2 linked regions of the Drosophila melanogaster genome follow. The gene in region 1 interacts genetically with each later gene. Each region holds a gene or a part of one and is shown in the gene's direction. Other genes may lie near its edges. The genes, in order: E(spl)mgamma-HLH and Cdk9.

What was found.
Region 2: of E(spl)mgamma-HLH (region 1) and Cdk9, changing one suppresses a phenotype caused by changing the other (phenotypic suppression), as found in Drosophila melanogaster (one study listed by BioGRID).

The regions. Positions count from the first base shown.
Region 1 is NT_033777.3:25,998,222-26,001,557, forward strand, and holds E(spl)mgamma-HLH (enhancer of split mgamma, helix-loop-helix), read left to right. Parts: upstream 1-1,629; 5' UTR 1,630-1,721; coding exon 1,722-2,339; 3' UTR 2,340-2,540; downstream 2,541-3,336. Other genes in the region: E(spl)mdelta-HLH (enhancer of split mdelta, helix-loop-helix), read left to right, coding at 1-32. UniProt on the Drosophila melanogaster protein: Transcriptional repressor of genes that require a bHLH protein for their transcription. May serve as a transcriptional regulator of the Achaete-scute complex (AS-C) genes. Contributes to the neural-epidermal lineage decision during early neurogenesis.
Region 2 is NT_033778.4:22,635,374-22,639,761, reverse strand, and holds Cdk9 (Cyclin-dependent kinase 9), read left to right. Parts: upstream 1-2,034; 5' UTR 2,035-2,171; coding exon 2,172-2,356; intron 2,357-2,418; coding exon 2,419-2,503; intron 2,504-2,562; coding exon 2,563-2,820; intron 2,821-2,888; coding exon 2,889-3,575; 3' UTR 3,576-3,699; downstream 3,700-4,388. Other genes in the region: CG3732 (uncharacterized protein), read left to right, coding at 1-225, 282-724; bonsai, read right to left, coding at 949-1,451, 1,511-1,644, 1,704-1,909; CG17807 (uncharacterized protein), read left to right, coding at 3,838-4,388.

The DNA.
Region 1 (3,336 bases):
ATCATGGCGAAGAAGTCTGGCGCCCCTGGTGAAGGGCATTCCATATATACGCAACCAATTAACATTGATAGCTTTACTACTCAGTTTCATTAAGAAACAATCCAAGTTTTCCAAGGTCTAGTGTAAACATTTGCCTCAGAATCGTATTTAGTTGGTAGTTGATTTGATATGATGTGATGTTCCTGTGATAGTTCTTAAGTTCGTATTTTGTATTTGATCTCCCATAGGCTTACTGATTCATGTATTTAATTCATTGTAATTTATTTCATCAACTTTGCAAGAGCTTCCCCACCGAGCTTCCACTTAGCCTCATTAAGAACAAATTTTTGTGTATGTTTTAAAATTATATTTTTCGCTTTACACCATTAAGTATAAGCCATGAACATTTGAATAATAAAATGAACGTAAACTGAAATTTTAAAAGCTTTATATTATTTGGAATATGAACATAAACAAGGTTGCTATAATCCATAGGTACATAGGTACAAAATGTTATAATATATATAATTATTATATTATAATTATAATTTATAAGCTCTTATTTAGCTTTCTTCGATATAAAAGATATATCAGATATATTTAAATATATTTCTAAAATCTAATTTGAAATATATAGAAAATATATATTTTCCTTGGAATTTTAATAATTTATAATTCTAAATACCAAATACCGTTATACTGTCCACTTGAATTCAAGTCAATTGAACTCTCCCCACTCCGTTTACAAATCCCTGTAATGCACCACCCATCCAACCATCCATCCATTACAAAGGTCCTGGAACGCGAGCAACTTACAGCCGAAAGTGTGTCCACAGCGAGCCACACGCGAGCAGCGCTCCAGGATCAGCATCGCTGGCCCCTTTTACATGGCGGATGGAGGGAGAGGCAGAGGTCCTGCCGGGTCGGGGGGATCGGGAAGTCGTACACGCATTAAGCGCACTCGACGCACACGAGCAATGTTCCCACAGGATCATAACAGCCGACCAACAAGTGCAGGATGCCTCTGTCCTTGTCCCTTCCTCTGCCACCAAACACGAACCCGATCCAATTTGGAATGCCAACGGTAAACAGGAAGTTGTCGAGGAATCGCAACGCCTCGTCCTTATCCTTATCCCCATCCCCCGGCGGAGGTCCCCGCTATCGTGGGAACCCCGGAGGACCCCGATGAGATGGCATAATGCAAGCAGTTCATTATCCTTATGCCCCTCACCCTGCCATGCCATAGTCAAATCATAACACACAAATCTAGAAACGGCAGCTGTTCGCTCTGCAAATTCCCATGCCCATGGCCGTGGCCATGCTCGGCTGCTTTTTGCGGGCAGGTGAGCGAGTCGATGTGAGAAACCGAGTAGGAAAGTGTTTCCCACGATCCTGGCAGCGATCCTGCTCCCTGGCCCGTTTGATAAGGGTGCCGGGGCCAACAATAAGAAATCGCCCGAACAATAAGGAGCGGTCTCAAGAAGCGGAAGGGTCGGTACCGAGCAACCCTCATGCCAGCACACGAAGCGTGTCCCCGTCCCTTTTGCTCCTCGAATGCCAGCACACACGACGACGACGACGATCCCTTTGGCCCATTTTTTGGGGGTTGTTTCTGGCCAGCTATATAAGGCCGATCACCGAAGGTCTAGCAACACACAACGACTTCGACTGTCGGAGCAGCAAGAGCTCAAAGAACTCAGCTTACATCGAAACTACAAAAAGAACAATAAGAAACACACAAAATGTCGTCGCTACAAATGTCCGAGATGTCCAAGACCTATCAGTACCGCAAGGTGATGAAGCCCATGCTGGAGAGGAAGCGTCGTGCCAGAATCAACAAGTGCCTGGACGAGCTAAAGGATCTTATGGTTGCCACCTTGGAGTCCGAGGGCGAGCACGTCACCCGTTTGGAGAAAGCCGATATCCTGGAACTTACCGTCACCCATTTGCAAAAGATGAAGCAGCAGCGTCAGCACAAGCGGGCTTCCGGCGATGAGAGCTTGACTCCGGCGGAGGGCTTCCGTTCCGGCTACATCCATGCCGTCAATGAGGTCTCCCGTTCACTCTCCCAGCTGCCCGGCATGAATGTCAGCCTAGGCACTCAGCTAATGACCCACCTGGGACAGCGCCTCAATCAGATCCAGCCAGCAGAAAAGGAAGTCTTGCCGGTGACCGCTCCACTCTCCGTGCACATCGCCAATCGGGATGCCTACTCCGTGCCCATTTCGCCAATCTCCAGCTACGCCGGCAGTCCCAACTCCAATACCAGTTCGACCAGCCATTCCCTGTTGACCACCATCGATGTGACCAAGATGGAGGACGACAGCGAGGACGAGGAGAACGTCTGGCGTCCCTGGTAGATAGGATTACTTCACACCACAACTGAAAAAAAAAAAAACGAAGGAGAGATCATAGAAAGTAAAAGTCTTCCGAGTCACTGGATTTCCACCAGTCGACTCCCACCTAGTTATAAGTAAACACCATAAACACACAAAGCTTTAGATGAGGACGCGCAGTTCATGTGATAACTAAATAAATAATAAATTATATAGCTAAAATTGAAAGATCACGACTTTTTCTGCCACTATCTAGTGACTCACATGCAAATTGCTCAGACACTCCCATGTCCAGACAGTTTCCAATTGTCTGCGGTCTAGAACGGAAACGCTAGAAACGCAATAGCACCTCTCTCTGTCCCCTGTAACTATTCGATCGCCCCACGGATGCACATACACGATCGTCGGACAAAAGAAAGCGAAAACAATGCCAAGGCCGAAACAAGAAGAATTAGGCAGAAGAACGAGAGAAGAAAGAAGTCCAAAGTCCAAAGCCGGGGCTACCGATACCGGGACATAGCCTATAGGCCAGTTGGTGGTTGCAACTCCAACACGTGTGCGGACAATAAGCGAAGGTAACAGAAAATATTAGAGTCTTATCTTTGAGCGTATCTAATCGAGTTACGACAATGTCGCTCAGACTTAGAAGAAAACAAATGGGCATAGAGCCGGCAAGGAACCCGAAAAAAAAACCGAAAACCAAAAAAGGGATCGAGTCATCATTCATCCCGCATCCGTCCTGATTTCGCTTTGTTCTCCTCAATTTTTTGTTGCCGTGATTCTCCCTGGCCACTCGGATAGAAAATCGTGTGCACAATGGTCAAGGTAAGCTATGGGCACATAATTGCTTCGGATCAGGTAAATGACTGCCTTGCCCTAGGGCAACTTTAAGATGGAGGAGCTCCAGCCGGGGACAGGATATCGGTTTTTTTGTTGTTTCTTTTTTATGGGCTCTGCCCGAGCCTTTTTTGATTTTCGTTTTTTTTTTCTGATCTGGCTGACCCAGCATCATTTGGTTATC
Region 2 (4,388 bases), on another chromosome or scaffold:
GAGACCGGGAGCGGGAACGCGGCAACGGGAGCAGCAGCAGTAGCAGCAGCTCAAGCAAGAAAAAGCTGGGCACCGAGATCGGCAAGGCGGCGGCCGACAAGTCGCGGGGCTTGTTCAGCGCCGAGGACTGGCAGTGCAGCAAATGCGCGAATGTGAACTGGGCCCGTCGCCAAACCTGCAATATGTGCAACGCTCCTAAGTTCTCGGATGTGGAGGAGCGGACTGGTGAGTCCGTAGAAGCCTGATCTGCTTCAAAACCCACTTAACCAGTTTCTTTAAAGGCTTTGGCGGTGGATACAATGATCGCGGCGTGGTAGAGTACAAGGATCGTCAGGATTCGGATAGCGAGTACGATGAGTTCGGTCGTCGCAAGAAGCGAAAGCACGGCGAGCATAGAGAGGACTCAAAGAGGCCCAGAAGGTCTAGCCGAGATGAGCAGCGGAATGATGAGGAAGAAGATGAGGACGACGACGAGGGAGACGACGAGGATCTATCAAAGTACGATCTCTGGGGCGACGAAGAAGTCACTTCCACGGATGTCAAGAGCAAAGAGGGCACTGGCAATGGCGACAAGGAGCGCAAGCGTACCTCACGCGACTCTACCTCTTCCGTGTCCTCCTCGTCGTCGTCCAGTTCGTCCAGCTCCAGCGACTCTTCGTCGAGCAGCTCGAGTAGCTCCAGCAGCGGCGGCAGGCGGAAAACCTCCTCGTCGGGCAGACGTTAGCTGCAACCGTACCCTTTAGGAACTTCTCTTTAATTGCGTCTGTTTTTACACATTTTTCTAAGGCAATCATGCTTGCCTTCTTATTTATTTGCCAGTATGCGCTCAGATGATCATGACATAGGGTACGATGTCCAGCCTAACTCTTAAAGTATAATAAAACATATAATTTAAGAAAACCAGCATTTACATTTATTGTAAGACACCGTAACATTAAAGAATCGGGCCTAATTGAAGCCATCCTCGTTTTGTTTCTTGCTGCTGGCGGCTGCCTCCGCCTGCTGCAGCTCCTTCAGCATTTCCAGCTGCCTTTTTGAGTCGGCGATCTTCTCTTCTGTCACGGTCACGGGGACATCGCAGGAAATCTGTTCCTGCCGCACGAACTGCATCTTCTTGATGGCCTCCTCAAGGAAGGGTATTTGCTGGGCCTGCAGCTGCTTATGGTAAGCCTCTAGCCGCTCTTCCTTTAGGTTTTCGCAGTATATGTCGGTCAACTTTTGGAGGGATTCCTTGCGGGTGATCCAGTGGAAATGTGTGGGCGGTGGCTTGTACACCAGGTCGAGTTTCTCGAGAATCCACTCGAAGCGGGGATAATCCCAACGTCTCAAGTACTTGAGGAACTTCTTGCGTTTGTCGATGAGCTCCTTGAGACGCACCTTGATCATCTTGTCGCGCGGATGCTTGTCCATGTGCTCCTGGTAGCGGCGGATAACTGCAGTCATTTTTGCCACTAAAAGAAGGGCAAATTTGGGGGGAACTGCTATATGTGCACTTTGCAAAGATACATACATTTGGCCTCCATTGAGCCGAAATCCTGGGCATGTCTTTGCACCTCCTTGACCATCTCATCGCGATAGAATTTTGTGGTCAGGTAACTAGCGTTGTTGCTCAGTTTGAACAAGGATTTAACTGACTCGTCGGCTCTACAAAATGGTGAGATGATGTAAATAAACTATTATATTGAGAGAATACTGCAACATACTTATCCAACTCCTTGCAGTCCCTGTATTCCGGCAGCAGTTCGTCGGCTTTCAGAGGAGGCAGCTTGGCTAAATCGCCGCTCTTTTCGGGCTTATAGCACGCGATCTTCTCGGGGCGCATCCATTTGATTTTCAGGTCCGACTTGAATGCATATTCCCGGACAAACTGCCGATGCCCTGCCTGGGCTATATTCAACAGTTTATTCATTAATTCGGCTTTTATTTGTTGGACAAATTTTGGCTAGGTTATATCACTTGGCCAGTGTATACCAACAATCGAAAAGTTATTACTACCCAGCTGTTTGACCCATCGATTTCTTATCGATAGGCCTTGACAGTGTGTGCACACCGGTATTTCTTTAGTCAACAGCTGTAGAAACACCAATTGTTGCCGATTTCTTTCTTTTCGACTGTCGGCTTCTCGCGAAACTGTGATTGTGAAAATTGTACAAATAGAGGCAAATTTAACCATGGCGCACATGTCCCACATGCTCCAGCAGCCTTCGGGGTCGACGCCCTCCAACGTGGGCTCCAGCTCATCGCGCACGATGTCCCTGATGGAGAAACAAAAGTACATCGAGGACTACGACTTTCCCTACTGCGACGAGAGCAACAAATACGAAAAGGTGGCGAAAATTGGCCAAGGCACCTTCGGGTAAGTCTCCAAATTGGTGAAAACTAACTTTAAACTAAAACATACGACCCCTTTGATTACAGAGAGGTTTTTAAGGCTCGCGAGAAAAAGGGCAACAAGAAGTTTGTGGCCATGAAGAAGGTGCTGATGGACAACGAAAAGGAGGGCGTGCGTGAAAAGCAACATCTTAAGAGACGAATTCCTTATTTATATATGTGCTCCCCTAGTTTCCCATCACGGCTCTGCGAGAGATCCGCATCCTGCAGCTGCTAAAGCACGAGAACGTGGTGAATCTGATCGAGATCTGCCGCACCAAGGCCACCGCCACGAATGGTTACAGATCCACCTTCTATTTGGTCTTTGATTTCTGCGAACACGATTTGGCAGGTCTTCTGTCCAACATGAACGTCAAGTTCAGTCTGGGCGAGATTAAGAAGGTTATGCAGCAGCTTTTAAACGGTTTGTATTACATCCACAGCAACAAGGTGAGTCATGTCATTAAGCAAAGTTTTGGTTTTACATTGTATGTATCTGTTTTCATTTGCATTACTAGATCCTGCACCGAGACATGAAAGCTGCCAACGTGCTGATTACCAAGCATGGCATCTTAAAGCTGGCTGACTTTGGCTTGGCCCGTGCTTTTAGCATTCCAAAGAACGAGAGTAAGAATCGCTATACCAATCGCGTAGTAACCTTGTGGTACCGGCCGCCTGAGCTGCTACTTGGTGACCGCAACTATGGTCCACCCGTGGACATGTGGGGAGCCGGCTGCATAATGGCCGAGATGTGGACACGCTCGCCCATCATGCAAGGCAATACGGAGCAGCAGCAGCTAACCTTTATCTCGCAGCTATGCGGCTCCTTTACGCCGGACGTGTGGCCGGGAGTGGAGGAGCTGGAGCTGTACAAATCCATCGAGCTGCCAAAGAACCAGAAGCGTCGAGTCAAGGAGCGCCTGCGTCCGTATGTCAAGGATCAAACCGGCTGTGATCTATTGGACAAATTGCTGACCCTTGATCCCAAGAAACGCATCGATGCGGACACAGCTCTGAATCACGACTTCTTCTGGACGGATCCCATGCCCAGCGACTTGAGCAAGATGCTGTCCCAGCACCTGCAGAGCATGTTCGAGTACCTGGCGCAGCCACGCCGCAGCAACCAGATGCGCAACTATCACCAGCAACTGACCACCATGAACCAGAAGCCCCAGGACAACAGTATGATTGACCGGGTTTGGTAGACTGCCAGAGGTGTACGCACCCGACTAATAGTTTCTCACCTTCAACTAGCGTTAGGTTATTAGGTTAGTGTACAATAAAAATATTGGCATTTGCATTAGCGCTTGCTCCAAATATACCTACATTATGTTTCTCTGCTTCTTATTATTCTTTATTCAAAGTTTCTACAATTACTTGAAGTTGCAAGAAAGGGTATTCACAATCGACTTAAGTATTAGAACAAAAAGAAAAACATTGAAAAGGGGTGTACACACTGGCCGCGAGATGCACGTTGAGGAAACACAGCAAAAGGTAAACAAGGCCAAAAAGGCGGATAAAAAGCAGCGAAGATGTCTGGCAATCATCAAAAGTGACTGCGAGGTGTCTCCAAGCGCTGAACCCACCCCTTACCTGGCGGTTCTCAACGTGGGACTCAGCAATGGACTCACGGAGGAGTGTTTGCTCACGGAGGCTGCCGCGACCGGTGGAAAAGTCATCCAAGTGGTCATGTTGCCGGGCAAATCGTACTGTTTTTTTATTTGTGCCAGCTTGGAAGACTCCCAGCTCATCTATGAGGGAATGCACAATATATCGACCATTGGACAACAGGGAGCTGTAGCCTACCTTAGCTATATAAGGCAACTACCGGCACTTGCGGGAAAAAGTGAGTGGAACAAGCCTCTTCCCAGAGGCCTTCACATAATTGCTGACTTTGTCACCGAAGAGGAGGAGTCAACGCTGTTGAGGGCCATTGGCGAGGATGGCAGAACCTCCGAAGTCACGGGATCTCTAAAGCATCGAAACGTCAAGCACTTCGGCTTTGAGTTTCTTTACGG